2 linked regions of the Neodiprion lecontei genome follow. The protein of the gene in region 2 purifies or fractionates together with the protein of the main gene of each other region. This does not show direct contact. Links are inferred from orthologs where the notes say so. Each region holds a gene or a part of one and is shown on either strand. Other genes may lie near its edges.

Region 1 (12,692 bases), on a different chromosome or scaffold from region 2:
ATTACACCAAAGATTTAAGTCAATACTTTCCTTATACTGCACATCTTTTATCTTAATTAAAAATTACATGATATAATAAAAACTCAAGTAATTTTTCATGAGCAAATAGATAAACTATTTTCCTGAATTAGATATTTGATTTACAAGTGGCCTGTGGCTTGCATAATTTTGCTTCATACTTACCTATTTGTTACTCTATATTCAATATTCAATTCTTCCAAAACGCTTCTTGTCTCCAATTCTCTCTTGCGGTCATTATTGTGGCTGGTGATTAATGCGTCATAGTCAGATCCTCTCTCGATGAGTTTAGTCCTAAGTTGAGATTCACTGAGATTTGGTTCACGCAGTTTTTCGAAATAGTAACGTGATACCTTGGTCAATATTAGCACTCGCTTTGGTACAAAGCTGGATTCATGACGAGCGACAATTCGAGATTGCCTCCGGAGGCACGCTGAAGTTTTTAAATATTGAAAAGTTCCTGAAAATAAAACGTAGAATTCACACCAAAGTAGATACAAAAAAAAGTAACAGTGGTTCTAAAAAGTGAACAGCGAAGAACAAATTTGTTATTTTTCAAACAATTTATATTTTCAAATAATTCGAAATTCAAATTTCCCCGCGCCATGTCTTACATTTGTATTCGAGAAGCTTGTCTGTGTATCATCTACGTTGTTTGTGACTTAACAAAACGGCTGATCCCTCCCTCCCTCCCACCCTTCCTCACGCCCTCCGGTAAACTGTTGCGATTCTTGAGTGCCGTCTGCTTTGGCAATGACAATTGCGATCATAATCTTATAATACGGTTAGGTTCTCGTAATTTATATATAATGTTAAGGGTTTTTACTCACTGCTTACTTTCCTATGCAATAGAGCAAGCGCTGTCATTTTACACGTAAAAAATTATTGAGCACATCAATCTTCGATTACGTGCTTGTAACTTGATTAGATTATTTCATAAAACATTTATAACCTCTGGAGTCTGGATATTGGCCACGCGCAGCAATTGCACACAGCGCTTACGCCTTGGTTAACACGTTATGTAGACGGACTTTCTTGTAGGAAATATTCGTGGTTGTTAAAGTTTATAGGGACTCTACTGGATAAAAACGAAAGTAAACTTCCTGGTGGTATTTTTTATAAACAAAAATCTATTCTTAAAGCTCAATAATCTGTTATTCGGCTACTATTGGAGTTTACCGTACGACCCTTACTGCCATTAGCATATTTTTAAACTTTTAATATCCCTTACAAGATGAATTACTGCATTACTTCGCATCACCTGTAAAAGGATATACATTAAGCTAGAATGAAAATAGACCGTATTACTTGCTCTAGCACTTTTTATTAACGATTTGCCATGGATTATTTTATCATCAATTTTGTCAATATAAGTTTTATTTTTGAATCCTTATGTATAACATGAGATGTCTTTTATCGATGTGTTTACGTACGAGTTACAATGATAATTTTTTTCCTTCTCTCAACGCCATTATTAACGTAACAATATTATAATTCTCTTATAATCACATATGTTTTGCAGTATGCACTTCTTAAAATTTAATGGTATTTCACGCACCGTCGTATAAACGTGTGTACGTATAATATTCATCCTACATATTGTACCTATACGTGTATGACTGTTTTTATGTAGTAACTTAATATTTTTAAACGATTGAAAACGCCATTGATCGTATTAAGCGATGCAACAAGAAAAAATAATAATTCTACTTCTTTTTCTCTTCATATACCCAATTTTGCATTTGTCGAAAACATCTTAATATTATAGATACAACGTCCTTCTTCGCGAAAAAAACGATATTAATTGATATATACTTAATCTATCAACTTTTATCATATTATGTAATATGTAAGTATTGAGATGTAATCTCGTAGTAACGATTCGTGTACATATACATATACCTATACCTGTGTATCTGCATGTATATGTGTACATTTTGAGCCAATTTACTCGCTTATGTTAAATGTAGCGGCAACAGCCTTGAGGACAACATCGCAAAGAAAAAGAGTTAATTACGATTCACTTAACGATCATACTTTCCACCTTGGTAGATTGATAAAATTTTTTTATCAATCAAAGTAGCGAAGTCTTCAACAATTTCTGTGCCCCTACGTCACCATTGATATAAACTTATTATATTTACATTTGATATTTGAAACAGAAATATTACTATCTCAAAAGAAAATATTCACATGTAAGCGGTAATCAAACGTTGGTAAAAAATCATTAACCAAACACGATTTGAGATGTTATTCGTGATTACTTTTTTTCACCCAAAATGAAACAAAGAATGAAAAAGTAAAGAAAATTAAGGAAATTAATTTTTCCCCAAAGTGTTGGCAATGTAATGATAATATACGATACATCAGTATCATATTACAGAGATGATGTATCATGACTTTTGCATGTTGGTTAATAATTATATCATGGGTGCAACACATATAAAATACCCGCTATATGTGTATGTATGTATAATACGTTGAAAATTGCAGATAAAATATTTTACATACATACGGTCCACGTACATATTTAACAATAATAAATTAGCTTTAAACGGTCTGTAATTGGTATGAATCGTGTACAACAGAACGATGCAATATTTTTCTCTCGCAGTAGACGATTCAAAAATACATATACATGTAAGAATAAAACTCGAAAAATAATATAACACTAAATTGAGTTTCGGTAGTTGACGTTGTGTTACGCTCGTTTTGTAGTGGATATAATTCGACTGCGAGGCCAGTTTCAAAATAAATAGAAGAGAATTTTTCTATCATTGACAAAATAGGCCGTTGATATATCTTTTTTATTACGTATATACTATTCGACACCGTCACTCAGGGTTGATTTCGACGTACCTATCATTATTGATCTTTGATCAATTTTGGAAACTTGCGAAGGGTTCGATTAGTTGTGAGCACAAAAAAGAAATGTTTTTGTATAAACGATAAAACGTCGATATGACCCCGCAGTCGCGCGTGCTATAATGAATAAATGACACGACACGAGCTGCATGGCTTGCCAGAGAAATCTCGCTCAACTTTTCGTATAGTATTATATACAAGCTGCGAAATTAATTTGGCAAAAGGCTCGAGTACAAAGCCTTTCTGTGAGGAAATGGGCGTTCAGCTTAGAAAATCGATCCTTGGTCTCTTAAAGCCACTATCACTTATACATAACTTGCATAATTCACCCCAAGACTTGCGATATTTAAGCTGAAGGCCCACGTAGTGCTTACTTGCTTTCATATAAGGGTGGAAAGGTGGATATAGTCTACTTGCCCAAGAAAATTGAGCTTTAGTATTGTTATAGTTAATTTTAAATGTAATGGACAAAAGTTCGTTCGAGTTTTTTTTTTTTTTTATTTTTTAATTTTTTTTTTTTTTGCTTTTCTATTATAACAAACGCTTGTCAGTAACGCTGGCTCAATCATCAGTTAATATAATGCGACACATATGGAAAGATGTGCGCAATTAATTTTCCCATCTATTTAAAAAAAAAGCTTCATAATTGTAAAAGCTTGTTCATATTTTTTCAGACAAGTAGTTTAGACGTGGAGACGATAGAATTATAGAAGAAATAGTTGGTGAAATAGTATATAATTGCATATATAGTCTTGCAGTTTCATGCAGTGTAAAAGCATCTTCCATTTTCATTTTACTCAATTTCACGTTACACATTCACTGTACGACAACATAGAGAAAAGCAATTGTGAAATTCATATTCATACCTGGTACTTACCAAATGATGATAAAAATTTCTCAATAACAATGAAAATTAAAGTTACGGCGTGTGTTTCATTTCAACCTATTATCTCAAGTCAATTAAACCAGAACGAATTTTGGGTGTTTTGAATTGTTGGGTAAATCGAATTGTTTTTATAATAATCGTCATGGATTAATGATTAGGTCATAATGACCTGAATACTGTAAAACCACTGGCTCAAATAATGGTAGCACCATCAACTAAATGCTCAAAGGTGTTAGAGAACGTCATTTGAACCTATCGCATGCCGTTTATATGCATTGCAAAATGTATAGTAAAAATAACGAAGCATTTTCTCGTTTCGTCGAAGAAAAACTGTTCAGTTCTAATGTAAAAAATTAGGATTTAGGTGAGCATTTTAAACGCTACCCCGCAAAAATTAATATTACATGTGATATACGTACACATGCAGACTGACGGAAGTCTGTAGATTATGCCAAACGTTATTCAACTTAAGAAACGTCTCAATTGTACACTGTCATTCCCGCACATATTATCATAACATATTGCCAATATCACTATCTATTATTTTTATACTTCTATCTACGTGTTTTCTACTGGCAAAAATATTTCCAAAAATTATATACAGTACCGTTGCCACTTTTAATAGTTTTGACATCCTTCAATTATTATTCTATTTATCGTTAAAAATATTCATACTCACTTGATTATCATATTATTCCTATCTTGATTATTATCATTGTCAATATTTATTTAATATTCATTATTACTATTATCATTATTATTGATGCACATAATTGCGAAATCTGGAAATATTTTCGTCAATCGTGTATACCTATTATAATATGTGGTCATGCTCATAACTCGCGCGTGTAGTTACGCCTATTATTAGTATGCAGCATTTCATCTACTTGTGCTACATGTGAATGCTCGTTATTCGAGTAAAACATACCTACACCTACGTAGATTGGATTAAATTATGTAAAATGTTGTCTGATCGGTCTTTTGTATGTAGCTTTTAACTACGAAACGATTCTTTTTTCAGAGTATTTTTCGCTAATTATCTTGTTTATACGCTTTAGTCAATTTTTGTCTTTGCCTTATTTCACACGTATCAAAAGATATTCTATTTTCATTCTATGTCGAAAACTGACAGCAAGTTACTCAAGACCAATCGAGTATTTCATTCCACATTCTATTTTGCTACTCTAGTATCCTTATACAATTGTGTTAAAAATAATAGGATGCAAACCAAAATAAAAAGTCAATTCAGTACAGACACTACGTGTAATTTTACAATCATAGGCTGTCCATATGTATAGTCTGTAGATTGATGCTGTTTTTAGTAATCAAAGTCGAAATAGTTTTGTTGCTTTTTTGTAGAAGAGAAAATTATTACGTTAGCCTTGCAAACATCTTGCGAAATATCATGCTGCCCGGTTTTCTTGTTTATAGCAGAATGTGTGCCTCTGTGTAGTTATAAAATGAATATAAGACGAAAGAAGATAAACTAAGTTAAGGAATAACTAATTAAAAAATAAAAACTAACCCAAATAAGAATATAAAAATAAAAACAAAATCTACAAAGTCTATATAAAACTTGTGTAAAACCTTGACGAATACATCTTATGAAGGATAACTTGATCCATTATCGTTCCAGTTATTCATCGTTTCAATTGACGAACAAATTTTAATCCACGGCACATTGTATGCCGGGAAACGATTTGCAACGTGGAACTTGAAAAATTGTAATAGAAAGATCCAAGTTCACTACGGCGCATTTCTGCTGATTATTACAATTACCGCATACCTAGCAATATAGCATATCGAAGACTGATATGTCGAATTTGAATCTAAGACTAAAATTTTTTTTTATAATAATAATTTGAGGAAAAATTCTCTACATCTACATTTAAGGATTTCGTCGTATAAGATATGATCACTGTATGGTTCCTCGTGTAACGAATAGCCCTCATTCCGCTCAGTTATCAAACAATAATATGATTCGTCAGATTTTATATTCGCACGAACGATGAATGTGGTATGGAGTGCAATTGGTAAAACGACGGCCAATGCGTAGTGAAGACCGTCGTATTATACATTGTTTCAATTCAAATCTAATCTCGTATTGCATTAAAAGCTTCGTGACGTTTCATTCCGCATTTCATCTCATCTCATCTCTTCAATTAACGTTCACATACCTATATTCTCTAAAATTTCAAGCAAGCCCTTGCATTGGTTCTACAATTTCACTACAGGGCTCCGCGTTTGCTTTACTACTGGGTGAAGTTTCATGTGGTATAATATAAATAACGAGTAAGTAAACAAGTAAGGAAGTAAGGAAGGAAGTAAGTAAGTAAATAAGTATATATGAGTGTCACTATAGGTATATGGTTCATCATCACAGCGACCTAATAAGCAAGCCTGGAGCTGATCTTAGGATGGACAGTGTAACAACAGGTACGAGGATTGCATGGAGAATGGGTGACGGGAGGGAGGAGATCCCGACTCGATTGCACATATCCTCCTCACAGAAGCACATGTGACCAGTGCCGGTACTTTCCATCATGCACACGTGGTCCACCATAAACAAGTTTATCTGTAGTTGCGACGTACAGGTTCTCCTCACGCTTTCGTAAGCTGAAAACACAAGTGTCAAATGTTTCACGTGAAATTTTTGCACTCCGCGCAACCGTTTCTTCTTGCGTTATACCGGGAGAGTTTTCTGTGAAACTCAACGGTCAACGCCTGCCGATAGGCAACCGAAGTCACATTCCAATCACGTGCCTGCCCGCAAGGAATACGGAATGTAACTTTGGTTGCCTAACTGCTGGCGTCGAACGGTGAGTTTCACAGAAAACTCTCCCGGTGTATCGATGTGCACGGCGCATTTATCGTCATTTATTGTTAGACACATTTTATTTCTCGTTTAAACAATTATATTACTGCTGTATAATGCTCACGTGACTTGGCATTGCGGACCATCTTGACGCAGCATCCGTTGCACGTCATTAGAGGTGGTTGATCACGGGGCAGGGCGGTGTAATTAAAGGGATCCTTGCACCTAAGATCCGTCCACGAATCGCACTGGTAGCAGTAGACGGACCTTGCTGTTGACGTAAGTTCGAGGCAAGGGTTTTAACACGTATCAATGTTCTATGTCTCTCCGAAGAGGGAATATTCATTTTACCACAAGTATTTTCATATTCCATGCAACTAGTTTTTTTCAATTCTAAGAAACCTTAAACCAATCGTTGAAAAAATTTCTACCAACGTCACCGAATCTGCATTCTTACGAATCTTCATAAGTGTGAAAATGGACATGGAAATATTATTCTAATTATAAAAATTTGCGCAGCTATGCAATTTAACGATCACTTACTCTGACATTCTGCGTAACTGGCGTTGATGGTAGCGAGTAAAATAGCGGCTGAAAAATGCGAATGGTAAACCCTTTGAGAAGCGTTGACCCGGTTGTTTCTTCTCGAGATGAAATTCTAAATTTAAATGAGAATTGCGACCTTAACGCGAAAAAAAAAAAGAAACTCACCAGCTATCAGATAATCAGACCCCATTCTGCACGCGATTAATTACTGCACTTATCGATTGGTGTACTCATTTCATTCATCATGGTCCTTTGCGTAATTCTAAGTCTTAAAATGGACTATCGCACCATTGTAACACCATGATTCATGGCACTTTCTTTACGACTTACGTATATGGTAATAATTTTTTTATATTTTTTTTTTTTTTTTTGCATGCGATTCCGGTTTATAGTAATTGTATTGTTCCTCGAAATTATTAAATCTTTCAATTTGTGAACACGTTTCGTATTTTTTGGAGTGGATTATCGGAGCTATGCTTCCCACTCATTCATGCATCGGCGTTTTACCCTTCTTTGAGCACCTATATAAGGAAAATTGATGCGAAATGGCGGAAAAAATTTTGATTAACATACAGAGTAATTTCGAATAGGACAAACTGCGTCAAACTGCAGAACGGAAACAGAGAATTCTAACTGGATTACAAAGTAAATACACCAATTCTTCTTTATATTATTATATGTACCAGCTACGACACTGTGTTTTTTACTTTAAGACTATCTAGGCCACACCAAGTAATGCAATAATTCCAGAAAATGGTATTAGCGTAAATTAAGGCTTCCCTTGTTACGCAAAATCTTGTGATATGTATTACTCATAAGCAGTGGAATAATTTACGAATATTTATTTCTTATCATTATTGAATTGGTCAGCGTGACTATTTTAGTCCGTCTTCAACCCGAATCTGAATTAATGAAATCCTTAGCAGTTCGCTATTTCTTAATTTTTTCATTTCTCCCTATTAAATCAATATTTAATTCAATAATTGAATAGTTTTTGACGCATTGATCCACTCATTGCTAGTCGTAATAATCTCTAGATATAACATTTATAAATTAAGTCAAAAATATTAAGTCAAAATATAATACAAGTTCAATCAATTTTATTCATTCAATCAACATATATTTAAATTAGCTAATTACAAAGCGCGACAACGCGATTGCAGTATTTCACATTATCGGTAAGTCTCTCAAGGAATTGATTGTCACTCTGTGAAGGTAAACTAGAAAAAAGAAAAACCGGTATCAAACCCATATTAGTTCTGAATCAAGTTAAATCGCGCAGGCCAATTATACGCGAAATTGTTATTCGCTGATTCGATAAAGTATTTTCACAATTAAAAAATGACTATCCCTGTATTAGGATACAAAATAATTGCGCATGCTGAGATTCATTTTCTTCCAATTCCCACTGGGCTATCAAATATCAGGATTGGATATTGGTAATGAAATATTATTGAAAAATTATTGTCAATCGATGCGCTTGTATATACGTATGTACGCAACGGAGATATTTGAGGTATGAATATACATATTTATTTTAAAATGAATGGCACGTCACCCACATATTTGATCGGTATTATGTTTATTATATTTATTATTATTATTGTTGTTATTGTTATTGCGCATTGTTATTATCGTTTGAAAAAACCGCACACCGCATCACGACTTATGAAAATCGAGGAACGTAATGATTCACTTCGAAAATGCAGGTAAACGTCGAAAGGCAGGCATATCAAGGTTTGAAAGTAGAACTTGCGATGGCGGATCAATATATTCTACTGCAGCGGCACCGCGGAGGAAAGCTCAGATACTCTGCGTTACAAAGAAAGCTTCGCGCAAGCGTAAAATGGCTACGGGGTCCTGCGTCAAGTTTGAATATCGCATTGCTGTATACGTTATACACGTAATCACAATGCACAACGTAAGCGCAGTGGTAAATTTATGGAAAAAATCAGCATGCTTTATACATTTCATCGTTATTTTTATTTTTCCATAATTTTCAATTCATTTACATCAAGTACATATTTTTAACAAATAACCAGTATGATTATTGTAACTTGTTTGCAAATAGACAAAATATTCTTCTGACGATTTCTCCGCAAAAAGGTGTTGAAACAATTGAAGATCATTTTAACGAAATCATCAGTCACGATCAGAATTGTTATCGGATTCTTCGCAGTGTTATAACATTAAATAAACTTGACGGAAAAATAGTCAATTTTTAACATTGATAATGTTTGAAACATCCGTATAATCTGCGCTTTTCGAGCAATTGAATCTATACCTGCAAAATCAATCGATGGACCATTCAATTAATTACCATGTGTTATGAAACTTGGTATTGATTTTACAACAAGAATTTCCAAAACTGGACCACGATGATATAGCCAGGTTAATAGCTGATCAATTATTTGTTGTAATCAGCATGGTAACAGAACAATGGATATTTCATAACTAGGCTCCGTATTACTTATTCCTATTTCATGCCATGAAATCAACAAAACCAAAGAACAATCTTTCACTTGTAATGTAATTACTTACCGGTTAATCAAACGCTTTTCAATAACAATTTCCATCAGACTCGTATAAATCTTAAGCGAAATCTCCCCCACCTTAGATCACAGCTTTACTTGGTTATAATGTTTCTATGTTTTACTATCGCCACAGCTTGCGTACACCGTTGTGCCACATAGAAGTACGGTGGTAGCCGGAATACTGGGTTAAAATGATATTTATACGTACATTTTTTACCTTTTTATCGTGATTTTTTTTTCCTTCGCAATACCGAATCACCGTATGTATATAACTGTATATATATATTACATATATACTAATGACATTTTTCTGTACAGGTGTAACTCTGAAAAAATGGCTCATTGGGTTCGCTATCTTCACTTGCAGCAAGCTGTGCTGATGCTCTTTATTTCAAACGGATGCTTGCTGATTGGAGTCAAGAGCGGCGCATTGAAATACGGTACGAGAAAATTAATAACAAAGAAAAACCATTTCTCTACAAGCGAGTGTAACTTCTTTAAAAAAAATCCTACGACACAATATCGTAACTTCTCCATGATTGGCAAAAGATTATTACACGCAATGTGATTTTAAAGATTTTCTCATAACTTTGCGGTCTTCCAATCTATGATCCTTTTCATTAGTGGAATCCCGGCTCAACTGGGTGAAACAGATTTCGGATCATGGGGATCGTATGCGTCAATTTTCACCGCTCGTCGAACCATCTCCGGACCGATCCTTGGCTCGCCAATACCTGGTACCATCGAAATCGCAAACGCAGATGGAACCCCATACGCAAGACTCAGAAAAGACATCCAAGAAAACTCACGAACCTGAGTCCCGCTCTCTCGGTACACATTCTATCTTTGGCCGAATGTCACCGCATGACTTTGAACGGTATCGCTTAGATCAGTCACAGCGGCCGCGTGCCATGACCCAGCGGCTGAGTTCCCTCAATAGAAACGAGCAGAACCATTTCGAACGACAAACTGACACCCCTACGGAGCCTCCACCGGAAAAAATTGTTCCCCCGCTTTTCCCAGCACCTGTTCATCCCAAACCACCATTCTTCGTTCGCCGAATGCCAAGCGATGAATTCCGTGACGCCATCGACAGGAGACAATTGTTCGATCCCAATAATCCTGGAATTATCGGTAGGATGACAAATATATATATACGGTGAAGATAGTGGCGTCCATGTCTACAATCCCTAGTATCACACATAGCGACTTATTTCTTACTCATTACTAGCAGAAAGTGAAGTCAAAGGAGATATTTAAAGCCAATGTAGTCGACCATATCCCAAAGTACTGCTCACTTTAAGCTTTTGCATCTTTGTTAACAATTTCACGTTATTTGACTTTACTCAGACTTTAGATACTTAGTATCCGGATAAGTGTGAGACCATATGAATAGCATTCCACTTCCATGTGTAGAAACTATACCACACATAGTACACATACAACCACTTCTAAGAAAGAAAACATGTGATTAGATTCAATTTTTCCTACCGTTGTTCGTAGCGTTAACAGTGAGTGAATTATTCGCCTGCGTCTGCCACAAACATTCATGATCATTTTGAGATATTCGTTTCCAGACAACCCCGGAACCCGTCCACCACCGGAATCTCTGAAGGAATGGCTCAAGTATCCGTTGTCGGATGAGGAATATCACAAGCAAGTAGGCTTGATACCGGGTGGCATATTTCCGGCAGGTAAGTTGCAGCATCTGTATTGTGAAATATAAACTACGTGTCGTGGTGATCTTGTTCTATTCGGAAAATCGAAAAAAAGTATAAACCAGCAAGCGGTATATGAAAGTACTTCAAGCTCATTTCCTCTGACTAATTATTTTTTATTTCAGGCTCAAGTCGCTAGTACAATGGGCAAACCAGTATAAGAGCCACGGGAACCGGAAGTTATTAGTCTACGATTTGGGAGACGTATGGACTCTCATTATTTTTTCAAGTTCATCGTGCTAAGTATGAACGTATGAAACCGTTCAGATGATTAGGTTGTGGTCGGTGTAATGGTGCTACACCGAATGATATAATGAGAAAGAATTTTGTGGCTGCAGCGTTATTCTTGAAAAAATATAGAATGAAAAAAACATAAGCGAAAAACGTTTTGTCGCGTTGTATCATTCCTGATTTTGCTTTAATCTGACGGCCAATAATTGCACACGATTAACATGGTATGGAGAATAATTATTAATACAGGAAAAACTTGTGTATCTTGAGTTACAAATTAAATAGAATTGCCGGTATGAACACTCAGTATCGAGGTGAATAATATTAGTTTCAATTCCAGTACAACTAACGTCATTGAAGTGATGAATAATTTATAACAATTCTATTCTCCTGACAACTGGACCCTCAAACATGTTACAAATGGATTTTGACGGGACTCAGGTATGTTCTAGAGGTATTTGCCCTAAGTACCAGGCTAACGGGAATTTATTCACTACGGCTTAGTTTCCGCTTTTATTTTTCTTTTATACTTTACTTTTTCTCGTTCACGTATCCAATCTTAATAAATATCAATAACGAACATTGCATTATAAAGCTGCGGGGAAAAATATTGCCAGATCCCGAGATCACCGCGGGAGTTTGTCGGACAAACCGACAAATGGACATCCGGAAAGACATTTTTTTAAAAACCTGTTTGTCGGATTACTAGAGGTCCGAAAACGTAAAGATTCGTTGAAATTAGAAAGAGTGAATTTCGACCAAAACCAATACTTTCCTTACATCAACGAGGGTGATGGAAAGTGAAAACTAATGTCGTACGGAAGTCGTCGTAGTGAATGTAATTGGAGTTGAAGAAAAATCTGACAAGTCTCAAAATATCAAAGTTTCACTAATTCACTACACAACAATGAGAAAAAAAAATGTCAGGCTTTGCAAAGCGATTAACAAAATAGTAAATAATTGTACCTTGTTTATATACTGTCAATATTATTATGTACAACTAGAAAAAAAATCCGGTAAGCACATATATTCTTCCGATTATAGTAGTTTTCGATATTTTCTAGTTGAAAGAGAAATGT
Region 2 (10,802 bases):
ATTATCATTGTACTAAAATCAACCAACTTATTGAAAAACAAAAATACACATTCGTTTGAAGTTTAAATAAATTTCTCAAAATTTATACAGTTTTCAAATAAACGGAAAAGTCATGAATATTTATTCCACATCTTGGTTAAATGAAAAAATTGCACCAGTTGCCTAAACACCTGAAAGAAGATCGTTTACCATTTCGAGTCTTGTGCAAAAATAATGGGTATAAAATGCAACAGTTTTAGTACTTCGTTCAAATTTTGAAATTAAGATTTTCTTCGCGGCATTCGGCACTTTTCAAATATGTAGCAGTAGAAATTAACTGATTCCAACTTATAAGTATTTATACCACTGAAAACAATCAAAGCATATACACCGACTATTTAGTGACTTTTCACTAGTTTTTTTTAATGATTATCAAAGTACATGCACTGATTTTTATCCAGTGATATACTTATTGTATCTGCAAATCGGTAAATTTTCAATAATTCAAATCTAGAAAACAGTTATTGCTCGTACGCGATTTCTCAGATAAATATTAAGAAATAATTTCGGTGTCTCTAATTTCTTATTGCATCCAGGCAAAAGTACACATATTGATATTACAAGTATCTAATTATTCGATAAAAATTAGTCTATTCCATTTCAATATAGACCAATACGGAGCCAATGTTTGATCACAATTTGATTTGAAATAAATTGATGCATCATCAAAGCCTAACTACCAAAAAATTCCCAAGAACGCTTAAAATGTATTATTCTTAGTTCCCGTTATTTTTTCTGGCGCAATTATTCATGTGGACACTGAATTAATATTCAAATTCAGCGCTTCTTTGAGAGACTTTTGAATAAGGGTGAATTTTTCTTAAAGTAAATAATCAATAGATATGTAACAACAAGAGAAGATAACTGAAAGAAGGAACTAGACGTATTGTGGTAATGTGCTGGACAGAAAAGTACTTCTGAAATTGAGTTGAAGAAGTATTTTACCGAACTACAATGCAATGCACCGAGCAATGAAAAAGAATAACTCTCCCTTTAATTTCATCCCTTTGAGGAAACACATATTTTATTGCACAACGTGCTAGTGTTTGATATTGAAAATTGAGATCTTTTTCAACTGGATTCCCTTTCAGTGTTTCCAAATATTTTACATAGCTAGCGACGACTATAAAGCTGTCAAATTTTTACGTCGAAACTTTTACCTGGCGTGAGCTAGGAAAAAATTGATAATCTGCAGGGATGAGGCGGTATTTGTGGCTCGGCCTAGTCTGGCCTGTACTTACTTTTCTCGCCTCACCTTGCCTTGTCTAACCTTGTCTAACCTAGCCAAGCCTAGGCAAGAGGTTAACCAATCGTTAATCTTGTTAGACAACCTCCAGCGAATCTATACTTTACCTGCCACATTTCTTATCCAATAAACTAATGAAAGATCTTGGTCAGATTATGTTACAATTTTTATACCAAGAATTTTTCAACCCATATCCGCGTAGCTTACTGGATGAGTAACTCAGTGTTCTAGTAAATTTTAACGAGTCGATAAACTTCAAGATTTCATTTCAATAACAAGAAAACGCCAGAATTATATGGGAATTCCCTTGATAGAATCAAAATACGTTTCACTCGGTCATCCGATATATGAATATTTGAAATGAGTCGAGTGGTGAAAAACGAAAAAAAAAAATAAAAAATAACATGCAGTAACGACCAGCCAAACGAAATTGGGGGAATTAGGTCAACTACGAAAGCTTCCTTCTCATCTTCTCCCTACGCTACCCTTTATTCCGTGAATTAGTCTGTGATCAGGGATAGCAAAAAAAGTAGATCGATGCTCGAACGCTAAGGATTAAATACACTTCTCGTATCACAAGAAATTTTCCCTGGAACAATATTGTGAAGTCGCGTCTACGTTACCGAAAATTTGTAGTTTCAGCTGAAATATTTCTGTAATATTTTTCAAAGATGGAAGAAAAAAGCATTGCAAATATCACTGTAGTATCCTGACTATCCTCGTCTGACAGCAAAATTCGTTTTGAAATTTTCGGACAGTTGATCTGTCCAACAATTTTTGATCAAGATATTGTTATATGAGAAAGATATGGAAGAAATGGATGGTCTAGAATGAAGAGTGCTGATTGTGAGAGAAACGGTGAGCGTTGGCAGCTGTGATTCAAGAGAATGTGGGAGGAAAAAAGAACGACAAATCATGCGCAATTTGTCGTGTTTTACATATTCTTGTAAAGGATATGATGCGTGTAGACGAACGAGTCGGTAAACTGAAAATAAAATTCACTCTGTTTTTTAAAACAATAAATCAATAGAAATTCCAGCAAGCCCAATTGGGATTAATTCGAGGATTTGGAAAAAAGATTGAACTATGTTCTGCAACCTTAAACGTTAAGGTACCGACTGACCCATTCAGGAAACCACCATCTGTGGCTATCTCAGTCGGAAAAAGGAGGAAAAAATTATTCAGTGCAAGGTAAACTAGAATTCTTTGCTTGGATAGAAAGAACTTTTCCCACTGCTCGCGATGTTCCTTGCCAGTTGCTTAATGCGAAACAGAATTTGCAGTACGTGCAATATTACTGCTGATACAGCTAAGGGTTTTCTGAATTCTTGTGAATACAGAAACTACATTTTTGTGTACCCTACCAGAAAGCCTCTCTTCTTTGTTTCTCTGCGTTTGATATCTCAACCCAACCAAAGAGCATCGCAGCCCAAGGTATTCAGAAATTCGTTGAACTCGTGCTTGAATAAAAATTACCAAACTGATGGTACAATTTACGTAAAGTACCGCACCTCAAAAAATGAATATCTTTGATCAACAATGCGAAAAAAGAATCCTGTGGCAGCAGAAAGATGCAGTTCAAAGAAATCGGTAGGTATTAGGTAAGTGTACCAGTTATTGACACGCTGAGACCCAATTATTGACCCTTTTATTTTCCAAGATTATAAATTTACGGCACAAATTGTGAATTCCTCGATAACTAAAACCAATTGCTAGAGAGTTATACAGTAGAAATTTATTTTTTGATAATTTTAGAAGTAAGCATCGAACAGATACAACCAAAAAGGGTCAATAATTGGGACAGGCTCAATAACTGGTACACTTACCTTATAAGAGAAAATTATAATTCCTTGGCCGGATGTGCGGTAGAGAAATATTTTGCTCCTGGAAAAATTGATCTTTCCTCAAAATCTTAGTCACAGCCAGTCGTCGACTATACCAATCGAATTGGTTCCAAAGATATAGCGACCGACGCAGACCGTATGCGGGATAATCTATGGCGTTTTCTACCCCCGCACAGTAGGTTAGCATCGATTTCCCGCCTCCCCACTCTTCCGCTCTTCCACCCCCCAGCCCCTCGTCCCATTGGTATCTAGGCAAGCCGGCGTGCTTTCCACCCCTTCGCCCACGGTTACAACCGTCCGCCCGAATCGGTCCTGCAGCCAGAATGCGTCAGCGAGCGGATTTCTTAGTAATTCGGCTTTACTGCACCGTGGCGCCATCCGGCGGAGGGTTGACGAACAATCTGCCGAGTCGTCGAAGCTTTTTGTTAGGGAAAGCTTTGCTGCAACGGCATGGGCAGAGAGCTTTAACAATCAGGCAGCTGTGTTACCAACTTGGGAACGGTGGCTGAAGGATGGAGGGATGCTTAAGAGCTTGAGCTTGTCGACTCTAGAGGGTAAGATGTGTTGGCGCTGAAGAAAGTTATACGTGTACCGATAGCACGAGAGCGAAGATGGGTTAAGCACGTTTTAAAGGGCATGCTCTTCCTCCACCCGGAGTGCGCAAGCTTTTACTCGCCTCTCCTTAGCTCTGTTTTGTCATCTATTTTACTTTTCCTTCTTCTCGAAGAATTTTCACTGCAGTCTTTTCACTGGCTGAACGGGATTCAACCGTTGAAGTGAAAAGTGATAAGTACTATCGATGAGTCGTCGAACCGTCGTTTTCTTATATTATTTCGAATACCTAAAATATTCGTATTTTACACTTCAACGGCGGGGAAAAATTTCACCCTCTTTGCTCGTTTTACATTATATAAAGAGGGATGATTATAGACCCGACCAGTTTATATAACTACCTTTCTACACGAAGTGTCGACTGCGTATTAGAAGCTGAATTTTTGCCGTCCGATCAATGGTGTGAATATTACTCGGCACAAGATTAGTTGGGTATTATAAAATAACAACTTGTAATACGTTCCGTGGCCACGTGGAAACGGACGAAAGAGAAGTTCTATGGAATCACTATGTATATTTAGAAGACCCTGAATATTAATCGATGCATTTCAGTTCTTGACTAACATTTCTGACCCAGTGCTTCGTCGTAAGATTTTCAAAAACTCCGATATATATCTATTTAAATCCGTATCACGTATCTCCGTGCATTTAAAAAGTTTCGATTATCTTCAAAAGCTACAGAGCTACCAAAAATGATCCGACGTTATACTTGTTCAAGGTCGTTTCTTTCTCAGAAGCTTAATAAACCTATGTCGAAAAATTGAGTATAATATCGAACAACATTCATTCCAGCACAAAATCGCGAACCGACTTATCTACAAGGTCACGCTGAGTTGTAACAATTATCAAAGACCAAATTATGACTTGTGAAAGAATCACAAAGCAGATTCCGAGTTGATGTCTTAATATTTTCAAATATGTATTCGGTCGCGATGCACGTCAGGGTGCAAAAAAGAATGGTTTAAAAAGGGGATTGTTCGATTGTTTGCAAAACATTTCGTATCCTTCCTTGAATCGATACCTTGAAGTAATCTCAATCAGCGCTCCAGAAACTTGTTCGCTCTCGTCGTCAGTGTTTCGGCGTCAAGTTCAGTCGAGTACAATCATGAGGTACCACTCGACAGCCTGTTCGAAAGATCAAGGGCTCGTGGTTGCGGAGGCCTTGATGGGTGAGTTAAGCTGTACGCTACAGAATAACGTTCGTGGTGTGAATGAAAGGGAGTAAGCTCGTCGACACAGCTACTCAAGGCAAGAGGTAAAGGTGACTAACAATGAAGTAGCAGAGTATCTATAAGAAGGTGGAGCTAATTGTGAGACTTCTTTGAGACGTTTTAACTACTGTATCACCGTTTCTTTCGTCGTTGAAACGGTTTCCCGGCTCCGTGCCCCGGGAACAGCATCCAGATAAAGAACAACCCGATGATCCAATCCAGCATCTCGATGAGTGACCGTTGAAGCTTCGCCAACGGGAGCTGCCAAGCAAGTTTATGCATCATGTCAATTTCGACAACCACTGGCTGCTGCTGTTTGTACGTCAACTACCCCTCGGGCCGCCATTAATCACACCGTAACGGTAATTCACCATCGTCTTGACATTTGACACTGGAATTAGCCGCGCTTAGCTCAGCAGCTCCCATGGCTACGCTGTTCAACCCAAGCCCCGAGATCTAGGGACATGCGAACTAGTCCTGGAAATTACCAGCCGTTCTGCACTCGGGCTGAACTGGCGGTCAAGTCTCTCCGATGGTAGATCGTCCAGTCACGGCTGAAGGCCAATGATATTTAGCACAATTTTCTCCCAAGTCACATATACCGATCTACGTACATGTGTATACATATTCTCTACTACAGAAACTGTTTCGCATGACAGTATTAGGTACAATTTGTTATCAAACTTTCCACAAGTTCCTCCGTTGGATGACTTTTATCGAGAGCTTCACTCTGCACAGAAACTTCCCGACAACAGAGCTTGAAAGTTTCTACACGGTAAACGGGGATACGTTACCAGTTGAAAAATTTTCTCTAGCGCGACGGTACAAGGCACTGTGGGTATACACGACTAAACGAGGTATCGTCATGAACAAAGAGAATCAATGGAGAAGACGGCCCCGAGGATTGGTTGTACGTACATGAGAATATACATATAACAAGTTTAGGATCACTGAAACGATTCGTATGTAAAATTATTGGAAACAAATTATAGAGACAGATGCTTGAGCATGAACACGGCGTCCGGTAAAAAATCTGTAACAACTTTAAGGACATTTCCAGGACATTTTCAGATTATTCAAGCACATTAAAAACAGAATATTTTCAGAACACAAGATAAATTCAAGGACATTTCCAGGACCAGTGTGCACCATAATGAAAGAATATTGATTCAAATAGTACAAATCGTCGAAATGATCCTTGACAAGTATATATACTTTGAAGAAGAATAAATTGCACAGTCGACAACAAATGATAACAATGTGTTATAGTTTCGTGTCAACACTCACATGAGAATGCAGCCAATGATGAGAACGGTAAGGAGAATCGTGTACGGTATGCAAACGTCGCATACGCCGAAAAGCTTCAAAGCTACATTAGCACATATGAGAAAAAGCACAAAATCCAAAAAGGAACCTCCCTCAACACCCATATCATCCGGTCATTTTCGATTATCACATCCGAACTCCTCCTCTAATGCGGACGTACGGTGTATAATCCAATGTCCACAACACACTGAACCCAAAATGAGCTACCGTCCCCCAGCCAAGCCCACGAACCACTGATCAGTCTTTGCCTGAACACATGTCGTCACACACGTATGTACCTATAATGTAACGTCGTTTAACGTGTATGTCCAGTGCCGTACCGATTAGCAGCCGACAAAATTTCTACCGTCACTGTTTACCCAATCACCTGGATCGTGAAATATCCGTCACTTTGTATCCCCGTTGGCAAATTTGAAGAAGCGAGTGAAGTGCAATGTTTAAACGGCAGATGAGCACGTTATCAGTCACTTGGTACCGAACTATTCATCCCAAATCTCCGTTTTTTCCTTCTTCTTCTTCTTGTCGAACTTTGAAATTACTTGGAATTCTTTCGAAACTTACGCATTTTCAAACAAAGCAAGGGTGAAGCTTCTTGAACTGAACGCGAAGAGTTTTCAGACATTTTTGTAAGTCATGGATTTTACGCGGCGTGTCGTTAGCAAAACTAACATGCAAACCACTGCCGGTTCTGAGCGCAAAGTAAATCAGATTTAGAAGGCCAGGGAAACATGAAACGGCGAAAACAGCCCTGCGAGGTGAAACACTGCGTATGTTTATCACACAGGAATACTTCAAAGGTTTCCTAAACCCCACGACTGTGCAACAAGGGACGACAAGCATTGCTTAAGAAGGGGTTGGCATTGGCTAGATTGTGGTAGGTTGAGTTGGACTAGGTCTTGAGGTTGGAGTTGCTCACCTCGTGTAGGAGTGTATAATTATGCAACTTCAATCAGACACGCCGTGCTCGATATTGATAGTGTGAAATCTGCGATGGCATGTTCGGAACGAAGGGAATTTTTATTTTTCGTCACTCTGACTGACGTATCGTGAGAAGCTGAGCAGTCACCATAACTTGTTGCAGTGCAATCTTTGGATCGATATGTGTTACGGATAATTCAATTGAACTAGTCTATGAACTAAAATGTTTTGATGTCGATACTGGTGAAATTTTGACGCAGGATTGCAAAATTCGTTTTGGATTTTCGACGTCAAATGTCGAGTAGAGATGAGAGAGAGAGCATGTCAAATTGGATTAAGTTAGCTCGAAAGTTTAGTTCAATTTGTTCTCAAGCAGCCACCTTGTTACTCGCTTAACGTGATATCGGTGAAAAGCATGAAGGTATAGTTTCTATCCCGAGTCCTCTTTTCATCCTCGCCCTCCAGTTATACACTGATTGTAACCAACTCCAGCTATTTCAACTTTGTGCCAAGGCAATAAAGTTGCCAAGTTAGATTATTGGTGTCGACGAACAACGATGAATCAGTAGATAACGGTGATAAATGAAAGCGGTTGGTGATATTAATTTCCATTCAAGGTGATAGCGTATGCCGATAAATAGTGTCTGGATAGTTTGCCGACAGAATATCATCCGCGCGACAATGAGCTTAACGAGCTTAAAATTCACGTTCTCAGAGTCACAAAAATGCGACTCGCGTTTTTTAGGTCAAACATAGTAAACGAGAGTGTTTTTCTACTTTGAAAAAATACTATGACAAATCCAGACCAATTAATCCCAATCAGCATCACTCTGTGAAGGGTTACATTTTGATATTAGTCAAGTGACAGGTGCGCATGATTTTTCTGATTGAAATGTTCAATGCGTTAGTCTGGCTCATTTTATTCATAAATAAAGACTACATACTATGAATATACTTCATTAATTCAACAGAATAATTGAGCTTTTGTGAAAGAGTGACTATAAATGAGACATCCTTCTTTGTTCATTTAATTAATTGGCCCTCAGACACCACCCCAAGTACCTAACAAATAAGGTGCACTGGTAAAATATTGATTCAACCATCGCTGATTTTTAGGCATTGCGATAATTTTTTATGTTTCCGTTGCTAACGTGTCTGCAAAGTTGCGTCGTAACCAGATCGCGTTTTTGAGAGAAGCTATACAAAATAACTGTCGTGTTACCCGAAACACGTGCGTATGTATATAATGCCACAGCTTATTTAATGTAGTTGTACGGTATACTTGAGACATCAATTATATTTTGCATATGCCGCAGGTCTGGAAAATGGTCTCACTCAATTTTCTCAATAATTTTCCCAATTACATTGGAAGAAATGAGTATGGTAAAAATCTGTCCTCTATCTTCACTGAAAGTCAAGATTAGCCGTGAAAAATGTCATCGTGACTGCAAATATGGTCAAAACTATTATATTTTTGGTAAGTTTAACCATAAATCCAGATTGCGGTACTACAAACGTTACATGATATTTTTCTCTCAGTGTATTCGATGTCAAAAGGTATTATGTAGTACAAGCACAACTAATGACGAATGCAGACAAAAGTTTCACCTTCGAAAATAAGCCTTAGTTACTAAGTTGCATGCAAATGTAATTCATGATCGATATCAGCTGGTCCGGACTGAACCTGTTACGTCGCTAACATCGCAGATGTACACAAATAACAAATAATAAACACGTCGTACTAAAGGCAAACAAAGAAACAACACCACCACAAGATCCATTCATCATGAAAAATTCACCACTACCAGAGATTAAAACAGAAATTCATATTTTCTCTTTACCTCGTACAACACACCAGAAGTCACGCACACTTCCAATGGCGTTTTTACCTCCCAATAAAACCGACCATGTTTTTGCCTCCAGCTAATACTAACGATTGTACAAAATTGATATTCCAAATCCTCTACCAGGTCATTTAACATAGAGGAATCCAGTGTGGTCAAAGTTGGAGCACTATTCAGCAGAAAACTCGTCAACCACTCAATTTGTAGATCTTTTGGAAGTATTGTGACGCATTCACGCTTTTACAAGTGTTCGAGACACACCTTGATCATTGTTTAGTACTGATTCGCTGTACCGTATTAATCGACAGTGACAGCTGGTGGTGCTGATCATAGCATGAGTAGGTACGGTGTGAATATTTATGTAAATAATACTACAAATGTATCCTTGAATGATTATTCACGGTTACCAAAGTGTTTCGAAGTGTTTGACGGTAACTCTTTTAAAAAAATCTTGATATACCTTACAATATTCCCTTGTTCGCAATCACATCGCCTAGCTGTAACTTATTCTCCTTTCCTTTCTAGAAGGCTTTGGCGGTGTAAGAAGACGCCCAGGGAGACCATGTGAAATCGATAGTGACTCTCTACCTCTCACAGCAACCCCTTGCCGCACCGATCCAGCCTCTTAATTACTCTGATGGCAGCTACTGATACGATTAATTCTAGCGATAAGAAGGAAACCTGCTGACTGGACTCGTTACCTCAAGATTCTACCGCTGATCCGGACGCCAACTAAGATTCTCTATTCACCTAGCGAGATCATGGAGATAAATTGTTACTCTTAGTACCCAAGTATGCAATTCTCACGTCTTCGATACGAAAATGCTCCTACTTAACACTTTACGAAACAATCGGTGTCTTGAAACGTTTATTTTCATTGCGACTACCATAATTGCGAAGTCCATGATAATGACAAATTATGCTTCGGAATGTGATTCACATTGGCGTGCGACACGGAGAAAATGAAATCCAAGAGATGAGTGGATTTTATTTGAATATTTGAGCAGTTGTTTGAATTCGTGGCTGGGCATATTTAGTCAAGTAATAAATGTTCTTTATACAAAATTAATTACGCGTATTTTTGGTCAACAAGGATTTCGAAGAGCAAAGATGATCATTCTTGTACTTTTCTGACCGGCTTTCGTGTTTGAATTCGATTTCAATATGTTTCGATGTTTTCTTTAAAGCATAGGACATTGATGTTAAGCATCCCGAAAAGGGCTCAGAGATCTAAATACTTCAGAATGGTCCGAAAAATGATAAAGTTTTATCATATTCTTTAGCAATTTAACATCGATCATCGATCAGATCACAGAAACCTGTACTACATTTGCGTTTTCGAAACAATTACAAAGCGTGACTTCGTGTCATCTGACCTGTTTTATTTTTCCGAAAGCTACAATTACTTAACGAACTATCAGTCTACAGAACGTGAAAACTAGACTCGTATAAGGCAGTTGTGTAGTTATAAAAAAACTAGGTCACCGAGCATTTGACATTGAGTATACACCTGTGCCTATACTCATAAAAAGTTCTTGCCCCGAAGTAGACAAACATTATTTTGAAACGTTGTCGGATGAAAATCATTTCTCCGACTACGGCCTAATTCGTATTATCCAAAATACTCACCGAACCGCAAGTGAGGTGTGTGAAATTATGGAAATAAGCACCCCTCAGAATTTAAGTATTACTCCTGAGCAATATCGGTGCACCACAAATCATGTCGAACAAAACCGGTGAACCTCTTCGGCAAAGGTAAGAA

Evidence for each region.
Region 1: the proteins of potassium voltage-gated channel protein Shaker (region 2) and protein quiver purify together in Drosophila melanogaster (affinity purification with western blotting, with the first as the bait; 3 studies listed by BioGRID). This does not show direct contact. The link is inferred for Neodiprion lecontei from reciprocal best matches to the Drosophila melanogaster genes Sh and qvr.

Annotation. Positions count from the first base shown.
Region 1 is NC_060261.1:30,871,453-30,884,144, reverse strand, and holds protein quiver, read right to left. Parts: upstream 8,917-12,692; 5' UTR 8,693-8,916; exon of another isoform or gene 7,652-8,692; 5' UTR 7,321-7,651; coding exon 7,296-7,320; intron 7,176-7,295; coding exon 7,128-7,175; intron 6,856-7,127; coding exon 6,709-6,855; intron 6,386-6,708; coding exon 6,147-6,385; 3' UTR 1,323-6,146; downstream 1-1,322. Other genes in the region: NAD kinase 2, mitochondrial, read right to left, coding at 184-478, 849-885; uncharacterized protein LOC107218843, read left to right, coding at 9,999-10,104, 10,289-10,798, 11,242-11,358, 11,508-11,521.
Region 2 is NC_060266.1:6,595,525-6,606,326, forward strand, and holds the start of potassium voltage-gated channel protein Shaker, read right to left. Parts: upstream 6,494-10,802; 5' UTR 6,303-6,493; coding exon 6,240-6,302; intron 5,214-6,239; coding exon 5,089-5,213; intron 1-5,088.